Linked DNA regions of Lytechinus pictus. The main gene of each other region encodes a partner of the protein of the gene in region 3 in a complex. Links are inferred from orthologs where the notes say so. Each region holds a gene or a part of one and is shown on either strand. Other genes may lie near its edges.

What was found.
Region 1: histone deacetylase 1 (region 3) and histone-binding protein RBBP4 share a complex: the UniProt entries of both Drosophila melanogaster proteins name them as parts of the DREAM complex. The link is inferred for Lytechinus pictus from reciprocal best matches to the Drosophila melanogaster genes HDAC1 and Caf1-55.
Region 2: histone deacetylase 1 (region 3) and metal-response element-binding transcription factor 2-like share a complex: the UniProt entries of both Drosophila melanogaster proteins name them as parts of the form of the Esc/E(z) complex. The link is inferred for Lytechinus pictus from reciprocal best matches to the Drosophila melanogaster genes HDAC1 and Pcl.
Region 4: histone deacetylase 1 (region 3) and protein lin-54 homolog share a complex: the UniProt entries of both Drosophila melanogaster proteins name them as parts of the DREAM complex. The link is inferred for Lytechinus pictus from reciprocal best matches to the Drosophila melanogaster genes HDAC1 and mip120.

Annotation. Positions count from the first base shown.
Region 1 is NC_087248.1:6,917,325-6,924,482, forward strand, and holds the start of histone-binding protein RBBP4, read right to left. Parts: upstream 3,022-7,158; 5' UTR 2,889-3,021; coding exon 2,870-2,888; intron 1-2,869. UniProt on the Drosophila melanogaster protein: Core histone-binding subunit that may target chromatin assembly factors, chromatin remodeling factors and histone deacetylases to their histone substrates in a manner that is regulated by nucleosomal DNA.
Region 2 is NC_087259.1:16,247,723-16,254,615, forward strand, and holds the start of metal-response element-binding transcription factor 2-like, read right to left. Parts: upstream 3,023-6,893; 5' UTR 2,760-3,022; coding exon 2,646-2,759; intron 1-2,645. UniProt on the Drosophila melanogaster protein: Polycomb group (PcG) protein.
Region 3 is NC_087261.1:583,656-590,858, reverse strand, and holds the start of histone deacetylase 1, read right to left. Parts: upstream 3,014-7,203; 5' UTR 2,970-3,013; coding exon 2,895-2,969; intron 1-2,894. UniProt on the Drosophila melanogaster protein: Catalyzes the deacetylation of lysine residues on the N-terminal part of the core histones (H2A, H2B, H3 and H4).
Region 4 is NC_087262.1:10,333,970-10,341,585, reverse strand, and holds the start of protein lin-54 homolog, read right to left. Parts: upstream 3,012-7,616; 5' UTR 2,899-3,011; intron 1-2,898. Other genes in the region: COP9 signalosome complex subunit 4-like, read left to right, coding at 3,220-3,293, 7,103-7,182. UniProt on the Drosophila melanogaster protein: Component of the DREAM complex, a multiprotein complex that can both act as a transcription activator or repressor depending on the context. In follicle cells, the complex plays a central role in the site-specific DNA replication at the chorion loci.

The DNA.
Region 1 (7,158 bases), on a different chromosome or scaffold from region 3:
ACCACGGAGTTAGTTCCAATCTTACTAAACCCGTTTCACGAAGGGCTTCCTAACTAGAATCCCTTGATATCGATACTATCGGTTGAAAGAGCAGACGAGACGTAGCCTTAGTCACAAAATAGCATAATTTTTGAAAAGCAAAAATATGATAAAACTGCAACTATTGTGATTAATTTGGAAATACATATAATAAAAATAATAGCAGAGGCAAAATATGAACCATGCATACTTAAACCATGAAGACTGGAGCACTCAATTGCTGAGAAAATCAAATTATGAATAATTCATTTCATGACTAAAAAATCACATGGGGACATTGAGATGGGTATCCCCGGGATAGTAAATTTTGATAGTTTACGAAAGTAAACCACAATTGTTTTCTTTGTAAAATAATGATAATTATACGTTTATTTATGGTTCCAAACATCATCAAAATATAGTTTAACATAAATGTTTAAATTTTTACACACCGAAACACACGATTTTGACAAATTCTTTGCATAAATTAGAGATAGTATTTATCAAAAATGTTGATAAGTTTGAAAACGACGAATACGAGTCCAGTTATGGATGACCTGCCGTGGTAGAATCTTTATCGATTCAATTATTTTACTATTTCAAAATGAGTGGTTTTGTTGCGTTTTACCAACAGTTTTTATAGTTTCTGTGCATTACAACTATTATTGAATGATCTATCACACCTGTTTTGCAATGTAATTTCAACTTCTATGAATGATTACGTAAGATTACAATTTTCAAATTTTGAGGCAATTTTGCATGTCATAGTCTACCCACGTGATGTAGTCTTGAGGACGCAATGATGATGATTTTTAAAATAATGAAATATACTTCTTCATCATTGACGTCTTGACACTCTTCCCCCAGTCGCATAAGAGAAGGACCATAATAAAGATGGATTTCCCTCGGAAATCCATCTTTAGAAACAAAAATCACTTTAATTGTATTGATTTCATTAATTTTCACACCTTCCTACGCCTAATGCGTAGGAAGGTTTTAAAAATTATAACATGAAAATGTGAAAAATTTAAGGTTTCTTACCTAACTGATGCTGAGTAAACCCCTCGAACCACATGTAAACAACGTAAGTACAATAGCGTCGACCCTTGAACCGCTTATGTATGACGTACTTCTGGCTAGCGATGCCGTTCTGATGAATAATTTATAGAAAAAAAATTATTTCGCAAATGTTAAAATTTATCACGTAATTAAAAATAATTGGTATGAAACTGACAATTATTTTTAATTTACGTGATACATTTTAACATTTGCGAAATAATATTTTTTTTCTATAAATTATTCATCAGAACGGCATCGCTAGCCGGAAGTACGTCATACATAAGCGGTTCAAGGGTCGACGCTATTGTACTTACGTTGTTTACATGTGGATCGAGGGGTTTACTCAGCATCAGTTAGGTAAGAAACCTTAAATTTTTCACACTTTCATGTTATAATTTTTAAAACCTTCCTACGCATTAGGCGTAGGAAGGTGTGAAAATTAATGAAATCAATACAATTAAAGTGATTTTTGTTTCTAAAGATGGATTTCCGAGGGAAATCCATCTTTATTATGGTCCTTCTCTTATGCGACTGGGGGAAGAGTGTCAAGACGTCAATGATGAAGAAGTATATTTCATTATTTTAAAAATCATCATCATTGCGTCCTCAAGACTACACGTGATGCCACTACGTCATTAAGAAAGTAGCTATAAAAGGTTCGGAGGTGTCATAAATATTTGGTCAGGTTGTTGTCCCCGATCTTGGCAAAGAGGGCTTCGTGAAACGGTTAGCGGACAAGTAGCTCACTATCTTCGATTTAGTCAAGAAGTTAGACTTATGACGGTGTTGAGAAACGGGCCCCTGGGCTCCCGCCCGCTGCGTGGGCGGGAGTTCCCTGGGTTAGATAGCGAGCTGTCTGTGTATGAGGAGAAATTTAAAAAATAAAAAAATGTTAAAAAACTCCTCGAAACAGACGGCTGCCAGCTGTCTAAGGCTACGGGAGACAGTCTCCGATATTATTGGCCATGCGCCTAACTTGTTAGTGTTACTGCTGAGCTTCACCGCGCGCCGCCGCCGAACGCCTCCTCGGCCTCGATGAGTAGTCTCGCCACTTTCTTTCGACAGCTGCGACAGTCGTCACATGTGTAAACCAAACGTGATCGTGAACCTTCGCCTGCATGCATGCATGCAGCGCAGCGCTGGTACCGGTAAAGGTAACCCAGAGAGCTCCCGCCCGCGCAGCGGGCGGGAGCCCAGAAGCTTACCGTGTATTTTACCATTGTCACCGGACTAGGATGATTTATGGTCTAAATATTTCTCCAAATGATTTGTGAAAACGGAAAGTATACAATTACCACGATTATATGGATGAAGGTCTAACGAGTGGCAGATTCCTGACATCTGGGCACAGTCTGGAACCTCAAAAAAACGAAAAGTTCTCTCCTTCTACCCAGTCTCGATCGGCCATTTTGTTACGATTTTTAACAAAAATGGCCGATCGAGACGGGGTAGAAGGAGAGAACTTTTCGTTTTTTTGAGGTTCCAGACTGTGCCCAGATGTCAGGAATCTGCCACTCGTTAGACCTTCATCCATATAATCGTGGTAATTGTATACTTTCTGTTTTCACAATTCATTTGGAGAAATATTTAGACCATAAATCACCCTAGTCCGGTGACAATGGTAAATTACACGGTAAGCTTCTGGGCTCCCGCCCGCTGCGGGCGGGAGCTCTCTGGGTTACGGTAAAGGTAGTTTTTGAATTGGAGTGAGAATGAATGGCCCTGTATTTACGATCCTTCATCTTAGAAATCTGATGAATGAAAACAAATAAAAATAGCATAATATTCTCACCATTGTCCTTTTCAGCCATGCTTGTGGGTGTTCTTAGTGTCACAGAAACCAGGAAAGATGAAAATCAATGTACGTTTTCTGCCAAGAACAATAGATTTCCTCCCCGCCAAACATGCAAAAATGTCGCGCGGAATGGACACGGAAGTGTCAATAGAGGGCCAGAGACAGAAATCGACGGATTATCGAACTGATGCGAAATAAGAATAATCCAGGACCAGGGGAAACAATTATTTTTCAAAGTTTAGATCATTCTTTCATATTAACCTTAATATTACTTTACAAGTAAAAATAAAGATACTGAAAAAGTAACGATCGAAGTACAAAATCTGTTTGAACCGGCTGAATCGGACTGATACCGACAAAGGTGGATGGGGGGGGGGGGGCGGGCGGTGGATTGACATTAAGGCGGGAATTAAAAAAAACAAAAAACTAGTTGGCCTTTTATTTTCCCCCGGTAAAATCATCTATATGAGTAATGTGCCACCCAATCATATGGTATCTGTCATGGAATCCTTGATTTTGATTGGCTATTGAGCTTGAGACTTGCTACCATTGCAGTGGATGGAAAAGTTACCATATCAGTAACTTTAAAGGGATGGTCCAGGCTGGAAATATTTATACCTCAATGAATAGAGTAAAATTCACAAAGCAAAATGCTGACAATTTGATCAAAATCGGATAACAAATAACAAAGCTATTGAATTTTAAAGATTTGCATTATTATATGCTGTTCTAGGCATGTCTTTATGAATATTTATATTTCGGTGGGCTGATGATGTCATATCCCCACTTGTTCTTTTGTATTTTATTATATGAAATTAGGTTTATTCAAAATTTCTCTACCAAGAACTAAAACAATTGGATAGACAACTGATTAAGTGCATTAGTTATTTGTTTTTCCTCAACACATTTCATCATAATGGAGACACATCATGAAAATATGAAGAAAAAAAAAATACATTTCATGTAATAACATAAGAAAAAAAAGGAAAGTGTGATATGGATGTGACATCATCAGCCCACCTAATGAATATTCATGACGATGTGCATATAACTGTTTTCACAAAATATTGATAAACTTTAAAATTCAATAACTTCGTTATTAGATTTTGTTTTCCGGTTTTGATGAAATTTTCAGCATTTTGCATAAAGATTTTCAGCCTGGACCATCCCTTTAACAACGGGACCCAGATCCTTTATGCCCTCTCAGTCACATAGAATTTAAGGCAACAAGATCTTGTCCCGTGCTGAGTGTTGTAGATCCCAGAGGTGGGTGGCATGGTGATACACCCCGCCCCCCCCCCCCCCCATGCACCCAGTCCCATATGGAAGAACATTATAATGATTATTATATAATCATATGACAAGGATGATCGTGTGATAATGAGGGGGTAGACTATATTAAGAACATCATGATGGATGGTATCTGGTATCATCATTGACCACCATTTTTTCATCGTAATTTTCTTGATTATAGTTCTCGGAGACTAAGCGGATAGACGGAAACAAATATTTGTGACAGTGATACCCATATGCTTCGAACACAATCGGTATTCTGGGAGGGGGCGGGTACTGTCACATATATATTAGTTTATTTTCTTCTTCAATCTTCTCCTGCTTCATCTTTTTTTTATTGCAATAAGACTTTTTGTGAAGTGACGTTAGTCGGCATAATGTCAATAATTATTCTCGAGAATATGGCTGCGACGCCAAAACCAGTATCAACCCCCCCAAAAAGTCCGAAGTGCATGTTATTTCTTTTTAATTAAAATGTACGAAGTAGTTTGTTATATTTTGTAAATATTAATCAAGATCTTCTGTTGTCATTAAAAGTCAAACACGTGGAATTGGAGAAGCTGAGTAAATTCTGATCATTCGCATTATTTGTCGTGTAAATGTAAAGTGCAAATTGAGCGATCCCGGTGTAGACATTAAATGTGCAAATATATGCATCATATATGAACGTTGCAAAAATGAACCCAACATCATGTTTTCAGAAAAGTATTAGATCTAAAATGCTGTCAATCATTTCAGTTATATCGATGTAATTAACAATCACTATCGTACAAACTGTTTGCTGCTGCTGTAGAAGTATAGTAGTAGTAGTAGTAGTAGTAGTAGTAGTAGTAGTAGTAGTATAGTATATTATTATTATTAGTAGTAGTAGTATAGTAGTAGTAGTAGTAGTAGTAGTAGTAGTATAGTAGTAGTAGTAGTAGTAGTAGTAGTAGTGGTAGTAGTAGTACGTAGTAATAGTAGTAGTAGTATAGGAGTAGTAATAGTAGAATAGTAGTAGTAGTAGTAGTAGTATAGTAGTATAACATTGTTGTTGCTGTACATGACTATTTTATTGTACACAATTAATCGCCATCATTATAATCGCACCTCATGCAAAATATCATCAGAGTTGCTTTTCGCTTACACTGATATCATTGGGGTTGATGATGATGGTGGTTGTAGTGGTATATAGCGATACAGTTGTTATTTTGTTTTATTGTTGGTGGGGATTTTGGTGGTATGTTTGTGGCGGTGTATGGTTGTGGTGGTGGCGGCGATGGTGGTGTTGATGAGGTCGTGACAACGTGGTGCATGGTGATGGTGTTGGTAATGTTGGCGATACTGCATTTGTTGTTGTTGTTGGTGGTGGTGATATCACCAACGCAGAAAGACACCTCCCAGAATATACTGACTATGTATTCAGAAAGTTTTTTTTATGTTTTTAATGAAGTTCTTTCAAAAAACTTCATGAGCCGTTGACTATATGCCAATCAACATCCATTTGGATTAACCAAGCCCAAAAAAAATATGAAAGATAATAACCAGACTGCATAATATGCATTTGAAGTAAAACTCATTCTACACAGTTCGTTTTGTTTATCTTCTATCGACCAGGGCCCTGTCTTACAAAGATTTACGATTGATTGATCATCTCAATACATGGAAATCCAACAATATGTCTTTTTTTTCTCAGGAAATTTGCATGATGTCTTTGTAAACAAAGAAAAGCTCACTGAATTTTCAAGAAAACAATGAATGTATGATTTCACATCACATTTAGGAAATATTTTGTTTAAACATGCTATTTGTAAGACGGGGCCCTGGCTAGCTTGCTCGTGGATTGCAGTTTCACTAATAACTTATGGGATGTGATCGGCATGGGCAAAAATCCCGGGGATAGGGGCGGGGGACACGGGGCTGGCAATTTAAATTTTGTACATCAAGCCTGAAGTTTGTGATCTTCATCATCATCATCATAATCATCATCGTCACCACCACCACCACCATCATTATTATATTCACCACCATCATCTTTTTTATGCAGTGCTTGTTTCGCTCGCTCGCATTCGTTTCTTTAAATTTCGCCCCTTATGTCATGTCTGGCCCCTCATTACCACTGATCATCATCATCAGTACTAACCATCCGGTGTATTTTTGAAGGTTATAGAATCACCTTTCTCGTGTTTTTCTTGAGAGGCTTGAAATTATGGCCCTTGCTGTGGAAGCGGGGGTGCTGGGGTATTAACCCCCAAGATTTGTTTGGAGGGTGGTGTGTGTGTGTTTTGCTCCATAGACAGAGCACTCCTTGGAATCTGGTAGGTAAAAAGATCGAAACCTAACCAGAATCACCCACATTTTATTGTGAAACTTTTTTTTTTGGGGGGGGGAGGGGTTGTCAAATTTTTCTTCCAAACCAGCACGTACCCCTATAAAAAATAAAAATAAAACAAAGTTTTTACATTATTTACTTCATGCTGTGTATAATTCTTACTGCTTTCTTTTTATTATTTCAAATATATATAAACATCTGCAAAATAATGTACCCGCTCCTCCTTCAAATGTTCGAAATTCGACGCTCTTTATCAAATACAAAGTTTTCATTTGTTTTTCTTGTAAACACCATGCACTTACACAATCTTTCGACAAGATCTGGAACATTGGTATTGTTAATTCGAACTCATGCGCTGTCGGTTAAAATCGATCTCTTCGATCACGTGTTATAATGTGTATCGACAATATACAGCAACCAAAATGTTCCAGATCTGCCACATTGATATTGTGTTATATATTCGAGGTAAGCACCCCCTCCCTCCAGTACAAGTAATCCCAGATAAATACAGCTGGTATTGCTTGAGGATCGTGTGTGATCCCAGGCAGCATCAAAGGGAAAGCACGCAAGAACTGCTCATCTTCATCAGTTCATCGACTTGTTTAAGGTACCTATATATCTGGTAAGTGTGGAACTCTTATCTTAATCAACGTTAACATGTTAATGTACCATAGTGTAAAAA
Region 2 (6,893 bases), on a different chromosome or scaffold from region 3:
TTGTATTGCAGTGTTTACAACATGGATACATGACATCCGTCTGGTAAGAAACCTCTAATTTGTCTTATTTTGGGGGGGAAACTATCATACCTTTATACGCATTAGGTGTATAAAGGTATACAATTTAATAAAATTTTGGTCTATATATGGCACAAGTTCTAATGTTAAATATGAAGGGAATTCCCTTCTGGACTACGATCTTCTCCACAGTGGCATAGCCTGCCTTGTCTAGGCTCCGTGATCAAATTGACAATATCAAAATCATAAAAAATTTTGATCACGGAGTCCTCTAGGCTAGATGAGACGAGTATCGCTCAGTCAAGATAAAGAACTGAATGTCATGTATGGACTAGAGTTAGCGACCTACGCCTACGGCAGCTCACCTGTTCGTTTGCATGATTTTGGTCGCTAACCATTCCCGATCGTGATAATTCAGAAAAGGGGTGGGCATTATTGACCTTGAAATGTGATTGAGAGACTTGCTATGACATTTGGCTTTTGCAAACAATTAATACTGGTGGGGAATTCTCTCAAAGCTGGCTACCGGCACTCGTTATCCACGACCATTCGCCATACAGCAAAAGGTAGGGGATGGGAAAAGAGGTATGTGAGGCGTAGTCATAGACAAAATTTGTTATAAAAATAATAAAAAAAACGGATGGAGGGAAAATGAGCAATGTATATTTTTACAATTGGAAGGCATACAGCCGAGAACGAGGTTATATTATAACCTCGTTCGTAGTATGAGTGGCTACCGGTGCGAAACTGCAGCCAGGCAATAAAACTTGAGTTAACGTTCGTCATTAGACATTAGCCCCAAACTTCCAAGTCATGAAACTATCGAAAGTCAGATTCAATGACAAAGTCAATGTCAATCAATGTGAAGTTTTCGTCACAACATGATCAGTAGAGGCGCACGGCCAATATTGGAGACTGTCTCCAATGTGGGAGATTGTCTCCCCTATTAGAGAGAGTCTCCCATATTGGCCGTGCGCCTCTAGGCTCTACTGATGATGTACCTCGAGCGAAGTTCGTGCAGGCTCCACTCCACTTCACTACCGCTACACTACGCTTCACCTACCCGAACTTCGAGACCATGAACTCGATCGGATATTCCAAGTGACAAAAGGTGGGATTTTATGGGGAGAAAATACAAAATTCATGCAACATCACGATCTTTAAAAACAAGTGCAACTAATATTCTTACTTTACACTAAGTTTCACTTCTTTTCCATGCTTCTATCAGTCTCAAAATTGATGATTTAGAGCCAACATGAAGTAGGGTGTCTGGAGAAAAAAAATTATTTTTCTTATTTCAAGAAAATATCACATTTTCTTTGTGAATTTGAAGAGAAATGACCTTCAGACTGACAGAAATGTAAATTTTTTGAAAAAATTCCAATTATTGGCTGCAAAAAAGAAGAATGAAATTAGGTCAATTTTCAGCATTTCTCTGCCATAGACTGTGTAGTTAAGAAATGGACACACACAAATCCAAATTTCTAGCTTCCGAGAGCTGTTATAAATTCATTACTAATGCCAAAAACTTGTCCATAAAGAGTCCAATAGGATTTTTTATGCTCTATCTGATGGTATGATTTTTATAAAGATTTGGAAACCAGATCACAATGAAAAATTGCGACAAAGTGAAAAAAATTGTGCAAAACAGAAATTTCATTTTCCCATAGAAAACGCATGGAGAAATGGCAATCTCAACACACACAAAAATAAGGGTTTGCAATTTATCTCTAAATCCTTATTCAAAATGATCATATAAACTTGTCCTTACTGTCAAAAGAAGCCCCTGAATTTTCTCTTTCCATACATCCCAAACACAAGTTAATAATCAATTCAGATCACATTTTTCTAGTAGCCTGAACTTCCCTGAAAAAAATGTGCCATATTTCCCCCTAAATCAGCCTGTTTTATGCTGACACTTTTCAGTGTGGCTTCAGACACCCTACATGAAGTTCCTCACACGTATAAATATTAATGCGCTGCCGACTTCAAAACATCGCATGCGGGAGGTACCGGGTCTGGTCCGAGCTCGGACCCTCGCGCGCATGCGATGTTCTGAAATCGGCAGCGAATTATTACGTGTGAGGAACTTCATGTTGGCTCTAAATCATAAATTTTGAGACTGATAGAACTTAGAAGCATGGAAAAGAAGTGAAACTTTGTGTAAAGTAAGAATATTAGTTTTACTTGTTTTTAAACTTAAAGATCGTGATGTTGCATGAATTTTGTATTTTCTCCCCATAAAATCCCACCTTTTGTCACTCGGAATATCCGATCGAGTTCATGGTCTCGACGTTCGGGTTGGTGGAGCGTAGCCGTAGTGTAGCGGTAGTGAAGTGGAGTGGAGCCTGCACGAACTTCACTCGAGGTAGGCCTACTGATGATTATGATGATGTGGCAAAAAAAGAAAACCATTAACCATTTGGCTGCCAACCATTTCCTTTGACTTATTAGATCCTCGTTAAAGTGAATGATAGTTCTTTATATGCCTCAACCATCCCAAAATTTTCGAATTTCTGACTGGTATTAATTATTTATACTGATTTTGTCACAGCACAAATTTACACACGTGGGACTACCCGCAGGCGTAAACTTAGAAAAGGTTTGTCAATGAAGTCCAAACTTACGAAATGCTCCTTCACTTCAGAGTTATGCTTCAGCTGCAGTGTTCCACATCGATTTGGATGTACTTTTGGCAAATTAGACCTACTCAGCTGAAATGTGACGACATTCTGACTCATTCATGCCACTGGACAACTCATCGCAAGAGTCGCATGCCTAGCTACATGTAGCAATCCGTTTGCTCCATTTATATTTTGTGTACAAAATGTGTGTGAATATTGCACGAGTATAGTTTCCCGCGAAAACCCATGATGAATGATGATGCGAGGTGACTACTACTTCCGGTATTCCTCTCTATTTTTTTTTTCTTTCTTTATACCTTTGTCTTTATACCGCATCTGAAAATATACAGCGTTGTTCCAGCAGTCAAGTATCCAGGTCTATCTTTATGTAGGCTACTGTTTCATCTTTTCGAGGAACTACCGAACTAGTATGGTCCAGGGCCCAAGGTCCAGCACCGGGGTCCAGCATTTCTTTGAAAATAAAAGAAAGAATTAACAAACATCCGGACAAACATATAGGCCTATATAGTAGCTAGGCCCGGTAGCTAGGCTACTTATGGGGAAATGATTTTAGATTTGCATCCCGAAGATCAGCAATTCCCGGGCAATTCCTAGCTGACTCTCTCCCTCTATCCCCCCCCCCCAAAAAAAAAAGTGTTTTGTAAAGCTCAGGGAGCTCAGCTTCGATCCATGGCTTCCTCTGAATATTCAGGTCTACCCAAAAAGTGGAAGCGCAGATCGAACTTTATTTTGTTTCAAATAAAGGGGCAGAAATGGAGGGCATAATAAATGATATATGGGGCAGCCGAGGCAGATGACTCGACCCATCGATCTTGATCTGAAAAGATATTGTTTTTACCGTTTTACTTAGGGATATACTATTAGGGAGTATACTGAACGAAGTCATTATATGTATTCAGTTCCAAATTCCTTCTCCTCTTTAGGTTGGCCGGATCATGTCCTGGTGGAGATTATTGAATGTTTCTATTGATCATTATCTTACATTATTTTATCAGGCCATATTATGTTTAACAAATACAAAAACCATGAGGTCAAAATGTTTGAAGTGCATCACCCCTGGCATCATCACCATATACAGGCAGATTATCACCCGGCCCACAGGTGAACCTGATATTTGCACTAGCTCTTTAATAGGCCCCCTCATATCGCAAACTGGTGGCAGCAGTGGGATCAATAATGTACGATGGAAAAATAAGAATGTTGAGTTAAAAGCTGATTACTAAGCCTCATTCAGTCAGTGTGGCTAGCCACATGGACTTAGTCACCATATAGCTATAAATATTTTTTTCCTGAAAGGGGGAGATGGGATGTATGTTTAAAGGGATGGTCCAGGCTGGATATATTTATATCTAAAAAATAGAGTAAAATTCAAAAAGCAAAATGCTGAAAATTTGATCAAAATCGGATAAAAAAGTCATTGAATTTTAAAGATATGCATTATTCCGGTGAAACAGTTCGAGGCATGTCTTTATGAATATTAGGTGGGCTGATGATGTCATATCCCCACTTGTTCTTTTGTATTTTATTATAGGAAATTAGAATTATTCAATATTTTTCTACCAAGAACTGAACAATTGAATTGACAACTGATTGAGTGCATTAGTTATTTATTGCCGCAACTTATTTCATCATACGGAGACACATCATTTATACACATGTATGAAAAAATGAATCATGTATGATTTCATGTAATAACATAAGAAAAAGGAAAGTGGAGATGTGACATCATCAGCCCACCTAATGAATGTTCATGACGATGTGCTTATAACTGTTTTCACAATATATTGATAAACTTAAAATTCAATAACTTCGTTATTTGTTTTCCGATTTTGATGGAATTTTCAGCATTTTGCTCTGTGAATTTTACTCTATTCATTTAGATGTAAATAGTTTCAGCCCGGACCATCCCTTTAAATGCATGATACGATATGCAACCGAAGGTCGAAATGACGGAAAATAATGTTTTAAACGCATTTCAAAGCTTGAGATTGACGAAACTGTTCCTATTTTGGCTGTAGGCCTACTTTTCAAAATCTTTCATTCTTGAATTTTTTTCTATTTTTTCTATGTTTCAATTTGTTCATTCATTTATTTAAGAAGAAAAAAATAAGAGGAAGAAGAAAAAAGAAAGAAGAGGAAGAAGAAGAAGAAGAAGGAGGAGGAGGAGGAGGAGGAGAAGAAGGAGGAGGAGGAGGAGGAGGAGGAGAAGAAGGAGGAAGAGGTGGATGAGGGCCCGGGGGAGGATGAGAATAAGAAGACTAATAATAAGGGCGAGGAGAATTAAAGAGGGGGAGAAGGAGAATGAGAAAGTGAAGGAAAAATAAAAATGAGAGATGCAACATCTCGTTTGTAAAATAAAATCGAAACAATATCAACGAGACATAATTTTCACCCATGAAAGAATCATGGATCCTTCCCCGCGCCAACCGGCCCGCGGCATCTCTGTAAATGGGAGATTGTTTAGCTACATGTTGTACATGTATTTTGTGCATTTTAATTATGTGTTGTTTTATCATAGCGGGAGGTGGCTTCAGTAATTCATTCAAATGAATGCGGTATTCACTGATATTTTCAGTTTTTATTTCATACACTTAAAAAAAACCAATCACACAACTAAAAAGTCAACATAGACTAAATGTAATGTAAAGATGATAAATAATCTTTATTGCATGAGTATACTACGTGGCAATCATTAAACCCCAAACCAGTTGTAGAAAAAGTAAGAAACAATATGCACATTTTAAATGACATTATAAAGGCAGTATTATGGTACAGAAAGGATGTGCTGCAAGTTTTTTTGTTTCAATATTATAAATTCTTCATATTTCCCCTTCTACATTCAAAGCCAGTGACTGCATGCAGAAATATATACCAGTAATGCTGCAGTCATATTCCCCCCACGGCGGCCATACGGCAAGTCAAGAACAGCCGTTTTATTCATTTTTATTCAAACCACCTATATTTAGCTGGTACAAAGAACATTAAAACAACTGTTTTCGACTCGCCGTATGGCCGCCGTAGGGGAAATGTGACTTCGCCATTAATCTGTATAAATTACAAATCTCTTGCACAGAAGAAAAATGCCAAGATCTTACATCATTTTCATTGCAAAATCTTGTCTGGCCATTCATTTTTAGTATGCAGTTTGATAGCTGGAATGAATTACCTCAACCCCCAGTGTATCCCCACATTGGTTGCAAAGTTGTCATTTAATTCTAGCCCTTCTGAAAAAGGACTAAACAAGATAGGCCTATTCATGTTGCAGTTAAAGTGTCCTAGGCATTTTGTTTTCAGGGGCCCTGTAGCATGAAGGTTAGCGATTGATCATGGGATTGATTTTTATAATTGATTGCATTGACTATCATGTATGATCAATCGTAAAAATCAGCCCCACAATCAATTACTAAGATTTGTGCAACTGGGTCCAAACATTATGAACTAAATTGGGTGACATATGCCTTAGTGCATAATATACCAAAACTTTACCATTATTGACCTCCTCTTAATATGGTACTTATGTCACGCTAGTTGTAATCATTTTCATTTCAACAATTGGATCATCATTCAAGATCTATCAAAAAACCATCAACTCATGGATAACGAGATTTCCACAAAAACAAAATAAAACTGGCATTCGACAGTTGAGGAAACCTGACATACACAAAAAACATAACCAAAGATGCTATGATGTATAAAATAGTTGAGATGTTCCACAGAAATATATGAAGAAAAAAGTTATAGAAATGTGAAAGCGTATAAAAATTTCGCCTGAGAAACTATACAAAATATTGGCAGGATCAATTCTAAATGAATGTAAAATTTTCTTTTGATGAATCACTTCATACATAAATATAATCATCCATCCAATAGCAAGACTGGACATTTCTGTCCCTTATTGAGCTAGCCACACCCATCAATAAATGACCACACCCCAACACCTTGAGAGCCACTACTGAGTTACGTCGCCAAGAAAAGTGAATATAAATATTCAAATGGCTTTAAAAACAATTTATGCTGAGATTAAAGTCCAATTGCATCTAACAAAGACTTCACAACTTGCCACATTTGCACTTGCTGGACTTGCCTTCAATGATATCCAAAATCTGAATTATTGTGATACATATTGCATAAGTTTAATTGATTTATTAGGCCAAATTATGCAAAAGCATGTGTTACATAAATTTTCTAAGCAAAATTTCTCCATTGTCATCAAACAGATTTTGGTTGTTC
Region 3 (7,203 bases):
TGTCCTTGTAACTTGTCTTTATTTATTACTTGACCCTTTAAACCATGGGTTAAACACCAAAATCATATACCCCAGGCTGATATTAAACAAACTATGTCAGTTTTTTGGTAAGAACGGCCATTATAGACTCCATTTTCGGAAGCCATTATGGATTTTTGGACATACTGGAACCACTATTACTGTCCTTGTAACTTGTCCCAATGTAATACTTGACCCTTTAAACCATGGGTTATACTAAAAAAATCATATTCAGAGTATCAGCAGCCATTTTAGACTCCTTCATTGGAAGCCATCTTGGATTTTTAGACATACAGGACCATTGACTGCCCTTGTAACTTATCCTAATGTACTACTTGACCATTTAAATCAAGGGTTAGACAACATAATCATATACCCAGGCGGTTATTAAACAAACTGTGTCGGTTTGAAATTAACAACAGACATTTTATACTCCATTTTTGCAAACCATCTTGGATTTTGGACATGGAGGGCCATAGACTGTCTTTGTTACTTGTCCCAACATATTTCTTGACCCATTAAACCAAGGGTTAGACACCAACATCATAATCCTCAAGGCAGATATTACACAAACTACTGTATATCGGGTTTTAAGATAACAACATCTATTTTAGACTCCAATTTCGAAAGCCATCTTGGATTTTTGGACATAAGGGACCCTTGACTGCCCTTGTAACTTGTCCCAGTTTACTTCCTGACCCTTGAAATCACCAATGAATAAAACCCAAATAAAAGACACTAAAATAGGTAATAGATGAATTGTGAATTGTTAGGCCATGGCAGCCATTTTTACGCAATCTTGGATTTTCAGGTACCTGGGAGTGCTTATGTTCATTCTTTCTTTTTACCCCCTACACCATTGAATACATGTACATGTATGCACCGAAAAAGATGTCTAGTATAGATAAAGTGTCGGTTATTTAAATTTTCAGTTAATGGCGGCCATCTTAGACGCCATCTTGAAAACATCCATTTTCCCCGTCTCTGGATATTGGTAAATTTTTAATACGTTATTCCTGCGAGCAGATAGTACCAACAAGTGGAATGCCTCTGGCCGTCTCACCTGCATCACGCGATTCAATATAGCAGCAGTGCTGATTTTGAAAACTACTATAACTCGCACAAGATGTTCAGTGATACTTGGTTACTCTTATTTCCACGTTTTATGAACTAGACCCATACACTTATAGAGATATGATGGTAATTCAACAAATACCCCCAACGTGGCCAAAGTTCATTGACCTTACATGACCTCTGACCTTGATCATGTGACCTGAAACTCGCACAGGATGTTCAGTGATACTTGATTACTCTTATGTCCAAGTTTCAAGAGAAAGATCCATCAACTTTCCAAGTTATGATGGTAATTCAACAGATACCCCCATTATGGCCAAAGTTCATTGACCTTTGACCTTGGTCATGTGACCTAAAATGCGCAAAGGATGTTCAGTGATACTTCATTACTCTTATGTCCAAGTTTTATGAACTAGACCAACACACTTTCAAAGTTATGGCGGTAATTCAACAAATACCCCAATTTGACCAAAGTTCATTGACCCTAAATGACCTTTGACCTTGATCATGTGACCTGAAACTTGCACAGGATGTTCAGTAATACTTGATTACTATTATGTCCAAGTTTCATGAATCAGATCCATAAACTTTAAAGTTATGATGGTAAATCTACAGATACCCCCAATTCGGCCAAAGTTCATTGACCCTAAATGACCATTGACCTTGGTCATGTGACGTGAAACTCATGCAGGATGTTCAGTGATACTTGATTAACCTTATGTATAAGTTTCATGAACTAGGTCCATATATTTTCTAAGTTATGATGACATTTCAAAAACTTAACCTTAGGTTAAGATTTTGATGTTGATTCCCCCAACATGGTCTAAGTTCATTGACCCTAAATGACCATTGACCATGGTCATGTGACATGAAACTCAGGCAGGATGTTCAGTAATACTTGATTAACCTTATGGCCAAGTTTCATGAACTAGGTCCATATACTTTCTAAGTTATGCTGTCATTTCAAAAACTTAACCTCAGGTTAAGATTTGGTGTTGACGCCGCCGCCGTCGGAAAAGCGGCGCCTATAGTCTCACTCTGCTATGCAGGTCAGACAAAAACCAATTACAAGCATTTTTGTTACAAGTTTTGGGGTTCAGAATAGAGCAAAAAAAGGGTGTAGAATGGCGGCCATATTGTTTTTGCCAATTTGAGGATTTTAACATCAAAATCAAGGTTGGCAAACAGCAAATTTGGACTCAGCGCCCTCAAATTATGCTAAAACACTTCTCAATTCAGCATTAACACGATTTGCCTAAGGCAGTCTACTTTTCTCAAATCTGGACCCGACTATAAATAAGAGGACAAAAGAATTTGCCTCTTCAGCTCATCTCTCTGGAATGCTGTTCCACTGAGGATCCTTTCAGCAGATTCACTTTAAACATTTGAAAAATATCTAAAATCATATATGTTTTCATCTTATTTTTGTTGAATATTGGAACCTCATTTGATCTGTTCATGCACCCATACATACAGCAAGCAAACATTATTTTATATGTAAATCCTTAGCCCCCCCCCCCCCATTCCATCTGCTTCCCAGGATAGTTTACTAGATAGATGAAGCATAATAAATCTTGCATTTATTATATTAAGCTACAGGCTTAAGAATAGTTGAAGGAATGTCAGCATCAACAAGAGCAAAATATAGAAATTGGTGAGCATGCATATCTTCTGATCATTTTTCTTTTGATTGCAAACCAACAAGTCTCAAGTGATCTTTGAATAGCAAAGCTTTGTGCAGTTGTTGGTAACTCTTCAGCTGAAAGAGCACCCTCTAATGTTTAAAGATTTAAAATACTTACATAGATTTCCATCTTTCTGTAGAGTCCATAGTTGAGTATGAGATTATGTGTCATACGTATTCTATGCGGTTTCATGGGATGTCCTTGTCCATAGTAATAATTCCCAACATCACCTGCAATAATAAAACACAAATTAATACTCATTTATTTCATTGAATAAATAAAACAAGCATAGTGATTGTGGACAGGCGCTGTACCATCATCGTAAAAAATATCATCAATAGTAAAGGTTAACAACATCAGGACCCCATTTCACAAAATGTTGCAAGTGTTGCTGAAATGTCAAGTAGTATGACAACAGTGACAATCCTGCTTTCTGATTGGCTCTTCCAACAAATGTTAATATTCAAGAAACAGTTGCTATTTTAGCAACTTTTTTATGATATGGGCCCCTGAATGAATAGGCAAATCTTGATTCTTTTAATTTCTTTTGAATCTACTTTACTGCAACAAGTTTAAACAGCACGATCTCAAGACCTAAGCCAAAGCTTCACACTTAACTTTTTTCTTGGGTGGCCGCTCAGTCCACCAAAATCATCAATATCATATTTTCGGTGGCCCACAAAACAAATTTGGTGGCCCTAAAACAATAGAAAACATTACAATTTATCAAAACTTTGGTAGCCAAACCGGGCAACAAAGTGTGGGCTTGTAAAGAATTTTGGTGGCCCAACTCTCATTTCTGGTTGCCCCGGGCAATCAGGCCACTGCTAATGTCGGGCCCTGCCTAAGCTACCTAATTATCAACCTGCATCATTAAAGGTCAAGTCCACCCCAGAAAATTGTTGATTAGAATCGATAGAGAAAAATAAAACAAACATAACGCTGCAAATTTCATCGAAATCGGGTGTAAAATAAGAAAGTTATGACATTGTAAAGTTTCGCTTATTTTTCACAAAAAAGTTAAATGCACAACTCAGCGATATGCAAATGAGAGAGTCCATGATGTCCATCACTCACTATTTCTTTTGTTTGAATAATACAATATTTGAATTTTTACAGATTTGACAATAAGGACCAACTTAACTTAACCATAAACTGTTAGAATAATGGTAATTCCACATGTTCAGGGAGAAATAAAACTTTGTTTCACTTGACAAGTAGGAGAAAATTAGAATATTTCATATTGAATAATACAATATTTGAATTTTTACAGATTTGACAATAAGGACCAACTTAACTTAACCATAAACTGTTAGAATAATGGTAATTCCACATGTTCAGGGAGAAATAAAACTTTGTTTCACTTGACAAGTAGGAGAAAATTAGAATATTTCATATTGAATAATACAATATTTCAATTTTTACAGATTTGACAATAAGGACCAACTTAACTTAACCATAAACTGTTAGAATAATGGTAATTCCACATGTTCAGGGAGGAATAAAACTTTGTTTCACTTGACAAGTAGGAGAAAATTAGAATATTTCATATTTCATATAATAAAATACAAAAGAAATAGTGAGTGGGTGACGTCATCAGTCTGCCAATTTGCATAACGACCAGGATGTGCATATAATTCTGTTTTTTAAATTAAGCGAAACTTTAAAATGTCATAACTCAGTTTACATCCGATTTTGATGAAATTTTCAGTGTTTTGCTAGTTGGATTTTTCTCCTTTTTGAAAATCAACTTTTTGTTGGGGTGGACTTGTCCTTTAACATCCAGGCTGAAGAGAGGAGGATAGTGGGGTTCAGTAACTTGAAGACAGGTACTTGATAAAACTAAACAGTCTGTGACATAGTATAGTACATTTGTACAGTTGATGTGATCTACCTTGATGATTTATAGCACACATGTGGAATAAATATACTTCCTATGCATTGATGCATCAATTTGAATCAAACAGCAGCATGCTTTTATATGTAACTGATCGAGGACCTGTTTAAAGGGGAAGTTCACCCACCCTGATGAAAAGTTTGTTGTAAAAATAGCAGAAAAATAATGACAAATACTGCTGAAGGTTTGAGGAAAATCCATTAAAGATTAAGAAAGTTATCAGAATTTAAAGTTTTGGATTTGTGACATCATAAACGAGCAGCTGCCCCATATGTTATATATGATATAAAATGCATAAATTTCAATTTTTTAATGGTTTTTGATGACTTATTTTTGTTTTCTTTTAAGACACGGGTGTGAAATGATTTATGTATTGATATACTGAAGGTAGGGGAGACCGGGGTTAGTTGGAACGCGGGGTAAGTTGAAACATTGTAATTTTCTTTCACGTCTTTAAATAAATTTCTGCAATACTGCCCCCTATTTATTGTCATTATCAACAGCCATCCACCATATTACAGACAACACATGTGCAACAAGCCTGGTGAAGTTAGAAAGGAATTTTTGTTTTCTGACCTTCTGAGTAATTTTTTTCTCTTTCAGAAATGTTTGATTATCTCAGAGAAGTTTATAGATCAAGTTGGCCAGTTTGGGGGTATAATAGACACTTATACCAAGCTACAAAATTATGTTATTAATATGCCATGGTCAAGTTCCTTTTTTGTGCTGTAAGCTTATAAACGTCAAATGGGCCTCCGGGGTTAGTTGGAACAAAATTGAAGGGGCTAGTTGGAACATGTTCCAACTTATCCCAAACATAATTATGAATAAAAAAATTGGATATGAGAAAAAATATATAAAGTATTTCACGCTCTTCTGAACATGTATTGTATACCATGCTTGTTTTGTTTATCAGTTAGGTCTGAGTGTGCATTTAAGGCCTATGGTAGGCCCCTAATGCAATATTAACCCTTATCAAACTGGGGGTCAATTTGAGCCCCCCCCCCCCCCTCGAGAAATTTCGCCACTACGCCGTCGCGCGAATTTTTTTTTACTACACTGCTCGCTGACTTTTTTCTTTCAAGTCTTGCGCATCATTTGAGACCAAATTTGCGATGCCTGTGTGCGCGGTTTCGAATTTACGCAACAATTTGTACGTGCATGGTCAAACCCCAAATTGTTCAAAAACGTGATTCCATGTACAAGGTCAATGCAAATTATGTTTTTCAACCCAAAAGTCATAAATGTATAATTATTTTTTACTTTTGTTGGTTCAAATAGATTTATTTTATGCTATTTATGATCGCAAAAGAGTCCCGAAAAAGTTCATCGGAATAAAGTTCGAAAATACAAATAAAAAAAACAAAAAATACATAAGAAATTATATTTTTTGCCATTTTTGGTGGATATTTGTTATAAATGTGAAAATTGATACTCTCACCAAAAATTAGCATTCTACTAGCTTAATAAATAGAGTTAAAGGCAAAAACATACCAAAAAAAGCAAATTTAGGGCAAATTTCATATGCTTATTTGTAGTTATTTGCATAATTAATTAATGAAAAACTATAAACAATTAATTTTTGTCTTATAAAGTTGATGCAGAAGTACATGAAATTACTGATAGTACACCTAATTGCATGTAAAATCAAACACACCCAAATATGCGGAATTCTACTACACAGTCTGCTTGCATGAGTGGCTGTATAATAGAAAACATAAAGTTCAATGAATCCACACTTTGATATTTTGAACTTGAATAAAATAAAGCAAATAGGCTAAAACCATGTAATATTACAGTTTTAAGTAGTTTTAGTATAATTCTTAATTGACCATGCAGTGTTCCAACTTACCCCATACCATGTTCCAACTTACCCCGTATTGGGGTAAGTTGGAACGTTTGCGATGGTCTTGTTCAAGGTGGATTTTTTTCAGTATCCATATAGAGTTAAAAATTTTATGGGGTACATTTGAAGCCTGTAGATATATGCTTCAAGCTGATATATTGATTGTTTCTCGAATAAAATCTTTTTTGGATTTTACAGCCATTTTTGTCAAAAATGTTCCAACTAACCCCGGTCTCCCCTACAGTAAAAACCATTTTCAATTTTCTAAAATGACATTTCATTGATATTTTACCATACGATATGTAGGAAAGCTGCTAGCTTATGATGTCACAAATCAAATATATAAAATTCCAATAACCTTTTTTATTCTTAGATGGATTTTGCTCCAACCTTCGACAATATTTTTCATTATTTTTTCTGCTATTAATTACAATTAACTTTTTGTCAGGGTGAACTTTCCCATTAAATTGTACATTGAATCGATTTAAAGGAAAACTTTGCCTTAGTTTAAATTTTTCCAATTCACGATTCCTTGAATACTTAAAAACAACTCCTGAAACTTTCACCATGAAGTTCAATTCATAAATGGACATTTAAATGCATACATGTATCATACAAAGATTAACACTGCATGGTTTCAAATGTCCCACCAAACAATCAGCCAATCAACACACAACTGCTTT
Region 4 (7,616 bases), on a different chromosome or scaffold from region 3:
TTTTCAGTGTTATGCTAGTTTGATTTTTCTCTATTTATTCAAATCAACATTTTTCTGGGGTGGACTTGACCTTTAAATCACTTCCATTGAAACATGTACAAATGATTGACAATATTTTTATTTGTGGCAGTTTTACTTTTTTTTTACTAAAAATAGAAAGATTTTATCAACTTTATAATCATCAAAACATTCTTCTTCATAAGCGGTTTAAAGCCCCCTACTCCACTTTCACTATGATTTTAAAAAAAAAATCATTGATTTAAATCACTTCCATTCAAACATGTACAAATGATTGACAATATTTTTATTTGTGGCAGTTTTATTTTTTTCTCCTCAAAATAGAAAGATTTTATCAACTATATATCATCAAAACATTCTCCTTCATAAGCGGTTTAAAGCCCCCTGCTCCACTTTCACTATGATTTTTTAAAAAAATCGTTGATTTAAATCACTTCCATTAAAACATGTACAAATGATTGACAATTTTTTTATTTGTGGCAGTTTTACTTTTTTTTACTCAAAATAGAAATTTTTTATCAACAATATATCATCAAAACATGAATAAATCCTTTATCGCAGTTACCACTTAGCCCCCTACTCCACTTTCACTATGATTTTTTTGTTAAATCATTGATTTAAATCACTTCCATTGAAACATGTACAAGTACAATGTACAACTCCTGGTTTATTGTACTAAAAGAAATAATTCAAATAAACCTGCAACTTTTCCCAATAAGACACAGCTTTGCAAATCAATGATTTAAACAATAACAAAGCTCCAACCATGGCTCAAATACCAAAGGAGGTTTAAATTTGTTTTTTAAATGGAGTTTTTTTTATTAAACACATGATTTTCAGTCCTTAGTTTGAAAATCAAGAATGTTTCTCTTTCAAGAATATGAGTCTCTGAGTCATGGAATTCTTCCAAAGAAACTGATCCTCATTTCATATTTGAATAGGAACACTAACTTATTAGCTGTACCAAGGCAGTTCCTCAACTTGACCAAACCAGTCAGTAGGAGCTAAATACCCGACACGAGAGGATGCGGAAACAGCATCTTCGTCATGACTTTATACAGACCTGCATACATGTATTCTTTATAAATTACATTTTGGCTGGATTTAATTATGAAATAGAAAAGTTAATAATAATTTTAGTTGTGAAATGTATGATTTTTAAAAAGATTTCAGTGTAAGGGTTATATTTTTGGTATTTCCACTTTGTTTTAGAAAATAGTCAAAAAAAAAAAAATCTGATTTGAATAAAAAAAAATTGATTTAAATCAAATAAATCCTATCAATTTATTTTTTTTTTATAAAAAAAATCGCCAACCCTGACAAAATAGATCTAATGACAAACGTTACATGTACATATGATTTTTATTTGATTCAATGGACAATGATGTTTTGGTCCAATTAAATTTAGATCTATGCTTAACTTAATATAAGTGTCCAATATTTGGGTACTTAGTTTTACTCTAAATTATCTAAATTTCTAATTCATTTTTTTTCATAGGAAACTCATACCAAAAAATCTAGGAATTCATACATGCATACGTACTGTAGACCAAAACTTTGGTCTCTGTTATGTTGGTTGTTCCGCTGAACTCTGTAGGCTCCACTCACCAATTACAGAGACCAAAGTTCTAACTCGATCTGTACAGGGACTCAATGGCCATATGTTTATGTATTAAGTTTGGAAAAACCAGGGAAGCTCGAAGTGGCAGTTGCGCGACAGCCGAAGCTTGCGAAGTAGACTATCAAAGTCACTGTTTTTTTCCTTTTGAGTAAGTTTTTTCCCCGTTTTGGTGCATTTCAGGCCAAAACGGAATACTAATCTTTATTTTGGTCCATGAGCCCGTCAGGGGTTTTTGCATTGTTATTTATGTTAACCCCCTAATAATGGCGGCTGCACAATCGCTACCGTCTATTAATCATGGTGACGTGTGTAGAATTAAAACAAAATTTAAAATGTTTAAAAAAGTACTTCTCGAAACAGACGGCTACCAGCTGTCTAACTAGACTAAAACTTAAAAAAAAAGCTTCGGTCTCTGTTACATTTACATGTATGTTGGTTGGTTGGCTCCACTCACCAAATACAGAGACCGAAGTTCTAGCTCGATCTGTACAGAGGACTCGATGGCCATACACTTTATGTTTATGTCTTAAGTTCGGATAAAACAGGGATGTGAAGTTGCGTGACAGCCAAAGTAAGTCACTGTTTTTTTATTTTTCCCCAGTTTTAAGTTTATTTTTCCCCGTTTAGGTGCACTTCAGGCCAAAACGGAATACTAATCTTTATTTAGGTCCAGTTCTTTTTGTATATTTTTAAGAAATAAAGACAAAAATCCATGAGCCCTATCGGGAGGAGTTTGCATTGTTATTTATGTTTACCCTCTAAAGGCTCTATGGCGGCTGCACAATCACGAGCCGTCTTGTGACGTGTGTACGAGGAGAATTAAACAAAATTTAAAATGTTAAAAAAAACTTCTCGAAACAGACGGTTGCCAGCTGTCTAACAACATACATGAAGCATTGTCCTCCATGGTAGACTACAGCATGGAGAGTCTGTGTCCAACAATACACTGGCCAGGCCATGTTTAACCCATGCAGAGGCCGTCAACTACCAGGCAAGACACACTCACTGCCCCGACAAGCACGGCCAAAATTGTCCTCGCGATCGAGTGGGGTCACGGCTTCGATCACAGCGAAGCTCTCCACCCAAGCACCTTTTACGTGGCGAATTGATTTAGTGATGCAGCAATTTTATATCACAGGGCCGTAATAAAACTGCAAATAAACTGATTCATAATAGACCAATCGCTTTGGAACTTTAAAGTACATTTAACCATTTCCATACATGTAATATCAATGAGCTGATGATAAAAAATATCTTACGGTTAATGAGAAAATCCTACTTTAATCGAGGACATCGTTACCATCCATTTGTTCAAAATCACGCGCCGATCAATGGTCTTCTCTCCATTCGGCCTATTGTAATTGTACACTTCGTATTTCGCATACGTTTTTACCACACAACCTCGCATAATAAATAAATATTAAAAAGTGTTATCTAAGAATAAAGTTAGGCACAAATTTGATATAAATAAAATATTTTGCTTTAAAAATGTATTTTATTATTGGCAGAAAACTTTTCTTTATAAGTGTAATTTATCATCACATTATTACATTCTCACAAATTGATCAGTCTCGCTCAACATGGCAGCTTCCATGAAACAACAATTATCGACTCTCTTGAGCGCTGGTGGGGCTCCAAAAGACCTAACAGAAAAGTAAATATCATTTAAGAGTATTCAAAATAGTTTTCAATGTTTGATTTGTCTTCTTTAATAGGAAATTGTTATTTTATGAGTATAATTGATCCCTCCTTTCATCATAGAAGATCGTGGGATTAACATTTTTGTTGTATGCATATACTGTAGTGTAGTCCCACGCATTATATCTTTTGTCAGTATGAGGATACCCATTGCCCATTGGCTCCTCGATCCTCTCATTCACACTTGTTCACTGCAGCCAGGGTGACCAGATTTCACAAAATGAAATACGGGAAAATTGACAAAAAAGATCAACAAAGAAGGCTACACAGTATTCGACTTGTGAAAAAATATAATTAAAGAATTGGAAGGGTGGGTGAACGAAGAATGAAGAAGAGAAAGAAAAGACGAAAGAAAAGAGATAAATTGAGAATAAAGAAAGAAAAAATGAAGGGAAACAAATATAAAAGAATGAAAGAAAGTTAGAATTAAAGAATAATACTTTTAATAGAGAGAAAAAAGGTTTCCGTCATTCTTTGAATTGAATATAGAAAGAAAAGAAAGGAAGGGAAGATGAATAAATGTGTGAAAGACAAAATAAAGGAGAGAGAGAAGAAAAGAATGAAGGAAATAATAATGTTTCCTTTGAAAGAAAGAAACAAAGAAAGAAGAAAAACAGGAAGGGAGGAAGGAGGGTAGGAAGGGAAATAAAGAATAAGGGAAAGAATTAGAAGGAAAGATAAAACAAACAAAGAAAGAAAGAAAGGGAGGAGAGAATGGAAAAAAGAAAATAATGGAAGGAGAGAAAGAACGGAAAGAAAAAGGAGAGGAAAGGAGAAGGAAGCAAATAAAGAAAAGTTTAAGGAAAGAAAGAATGAAGGAAATAAAAATGGAAATTGAATAAAGAAGGAAAGAAAAATGAACAGAGAGAGAGAAAGGATCAGGAAAGAAAGATCGGAAATAAAGATAGATCGAACAAAAAAGGGCAAGCAGGATGGATAGAAGGATGAAAGAAGGATAGAAAAGAAAGAGGAAAAAAGTTCAAACTTCAAGCAAACAAAAACAATCCAATCTATCGAAAATCATAATGATATTTGGTGTTTTTTTTTAAACTTAAATGTTTTAGAAATGAATAAAATTTCAAAGTGAAATATTGTCAACTTAAAATTAGATGAAACGTGGCATCATACATAACAAGACTCAAAACGAAAGCTGAAACACCTAGATCTAGCTATGAAAACTCAATAACTTGTTCCTCCGATTACATCTCCAAATCAGTAATCTGAGAATCCATAATGTAATTATACAAGTTCCCCACCGATTTTGTGTCGTTGTTTGCTCCATTGAGAATCTGCTGCGATCCTACTTGCCTAGCTAGTAGCCTGCCACACACAGGCAGGAGGCCAGTTCGTTTTCAATGTATATGGTTAGCAAGAAAATCACTGCAGAACTTTAAAGTTTAGTTATTGATTTGATTGTTGTCTCTGCTTCGTCATCTGTTGGTTATTTTATGAAAATTCGTCACTTTTAAATGTATTAACTACATTTTGTTCAATATTCTGAAATACGGGACAAATAGGCGTCCCAGGAAGGGTTTGTCAGGACGCCGGGACAAAGCAAATTACGGGATGATCCTGGGAAATATGGGACGTCTGGTCACCCTGACTGCAGCCCCTGCCTGTGGGGAATCTTCATGTAGATCTATGGTATGCCAATGCAGTACACAGCACACACTTTAAAATTTCATTAAAAATATCACTTTTGACTTTGGTCACCCAAAATACTAATTTCCATAGTAACAATACAAATTACAGTTGCAATTTATTTTTCATGATAAAGTAAAATAAAGGGACTAAAGACATTACTCATTGGACTAACTTGGAAATCATTTTTTCATTCACCAGAGCTCTCAAAACCTTGAATTTGGGGCATATTTTGTGTACACCCTCTATTGGTGCATGGTGGAAAGTAAAATTGCAAGAAAATTGTTCTATGCTAGTTTGATTTTTCTCTACTTATTCAAATCAACATTTTTCTGGGGTGGACTTGATCTTTAAGAGCCAAGTTATTGATTTTGATGAATAGTTGTATGGAAACTGACAGTGTCAAAAAATCTAAACATTTTTCCCCAAGAACATGAGAAAATAAGCCAAACATTTGCCAACCTTACTTCACCACACAGGAAATAGTTATAGAGAACAAGGTTCTATCATAACCTTGTTCATTGAATGAGTGCTCATTGTTGAATTTTCTACCGTCAAATTAGTGATTTTGAGACAGAATTTGAGATTATTGTTAGTACGGGAAGCTAAACAACATCAGCTGGGTATCAGCAGAGTAAGGTGACAATGACATGGCTGGGCTCGAGTCATGACAATATGAAATCATTTATTTCAAATGTCATGTATTCCTTGATAAGCTTGATATCTGTTTATAATTCAGGGTGAGGGTCACGATCGTCCCAATTAATTCAGGGTTCAAACCGGGGGGGGGGGGGGGGGGGGTGCACTCAGTATATAATGCGTTGTGGGTATGTGCTGCGGAGGGGACCCCCATTTTTACACTCAAATTTCCGTTCCAAGGCATAGCATTTTTATCTTATTGAGAAAAAGATCAAAGAAAGCCGCTCCAAAGCATAGCATTTTCTTCTTATCGAGAGAAAAGAAGAAAGAAATCCGCTCCAAAGCTTAGCATATTTTTCGTTACGGTGTTCTGGCTGCATTGATCCGCTACAATGTGCTGCAATTTTGGTGAAAAGCGGCCGCAGAGCGCTGTCCGTCCATCGCCTCTGCGCGAGCGCACCCGGCGTCCGTGCTGCCGGGCTAGCTGCATGCACGTATGCCCATTCCATAGGGATGCATTCGCACTCACATGCTGGCGACCCGTTCCAAGGACCCCGTTTTCACAAACATTTATAGTTCCGAAGCCTGTTCCGAGGACCCTCCTTTTTACAATAAGCCCGCTCTAAAGGTTTTTGTCTCGCCCGCGGCACATACCTACCACTTTTTTAGTCGAGTACCCCCCAGGGTTCAAAGGGTTAAGCACGGGTGTGGAGGGGGGGCAAGCCAGAAGTTTATTAAGAAACAGAAATATTGGGGGGGGGGAATCTACTGGAAATGATGAGTACTGCCCCTTTGACATGTCCGTTTACAACTTCCAGACATGGAGCCCTATGAACCTATTGATGGCTAATTTTGCTCACCCATTTTTTTTACGCCCTGCTTGAAAACTTGGACACCCAATTCTAAAATCCTGGCTAAAGCCCTGCTGGGCCTGATCCCTACCCAATACTTTTTCCTTCTAAATCTTAAGTTTTCTTTCATAAAATAATACTTCTACCAATGTTATAATATTGGTCAAATTTGTTAGCATGCCCAACCGCCATTAAATCCACCAGACCAAATAGATATTTAGTAAATTTTCTTGTTTTCATTGTCAAATTGTTACTACTAATTTGGACGGATTATAAGCTATTATTAAATTTCCAATGAAAATATGAATATTAACACTGGTCATCAAGATGGGATTCCAACCTATGCTAAGACATTGAAATGAAGAGAGGTTTGCCGGGCATATTTGCTAATATTACCAACATATTTGTCTATTTTATTGCAAGGTTCGATCGTAACGAAATTGATCTCGATATTTTGTAAGTATGACATCTTGAAATGTACTGCCATGTTTTATATTGTAGTTGTAGTTCGACAAATCACATCAGGTCATGTAAGTTACAATTGAATCCTTTAAATTTGATGACACATTATCATTGGTAATGATTCAATCAGATAATGATAATGAACATTTTCCTATATTTTTATCACGTGCAGATATCGTAAAATCCTAACCGATATTCTACAGCTTGGTGAAGATGACCTAGTAAACGGACTGCAGTTCTTCATTGAAACAAGTACGTAGATTCCTATTTCTAATTAAAAAAAAAAATTTAAGGGAAAATTCTGTTGGGAGGAGGTATTGGAATAATAAGTATGAGCTTTCAAGAACTACCTCGTGTTATTTAACCCTTAACGTGCTATGAACACATATCTGTGCATCCACTGGAGTGCCACAAACACATTTTCGTGCAATGGTCATACAGCTATTGTTATGCCTATTGCATTTTGAGGAGTGCATTGCATGCATGAGTGATTCCATTGTTCAGTTTAGCTTATGGTCAAGAGGTTTAACATAATTGTCTCATGAGTGATTCTCTTTTTTATAAATAAAACATTTAAATATAGACTCTGAAAAAAAAGTGGCACTCGCTGATTACAGTGAATGGCACATTAAGATTAAGAGTTAAAAAGGATATAAGAGTAAAAAGGTCCACTGCAGAGGATTGCG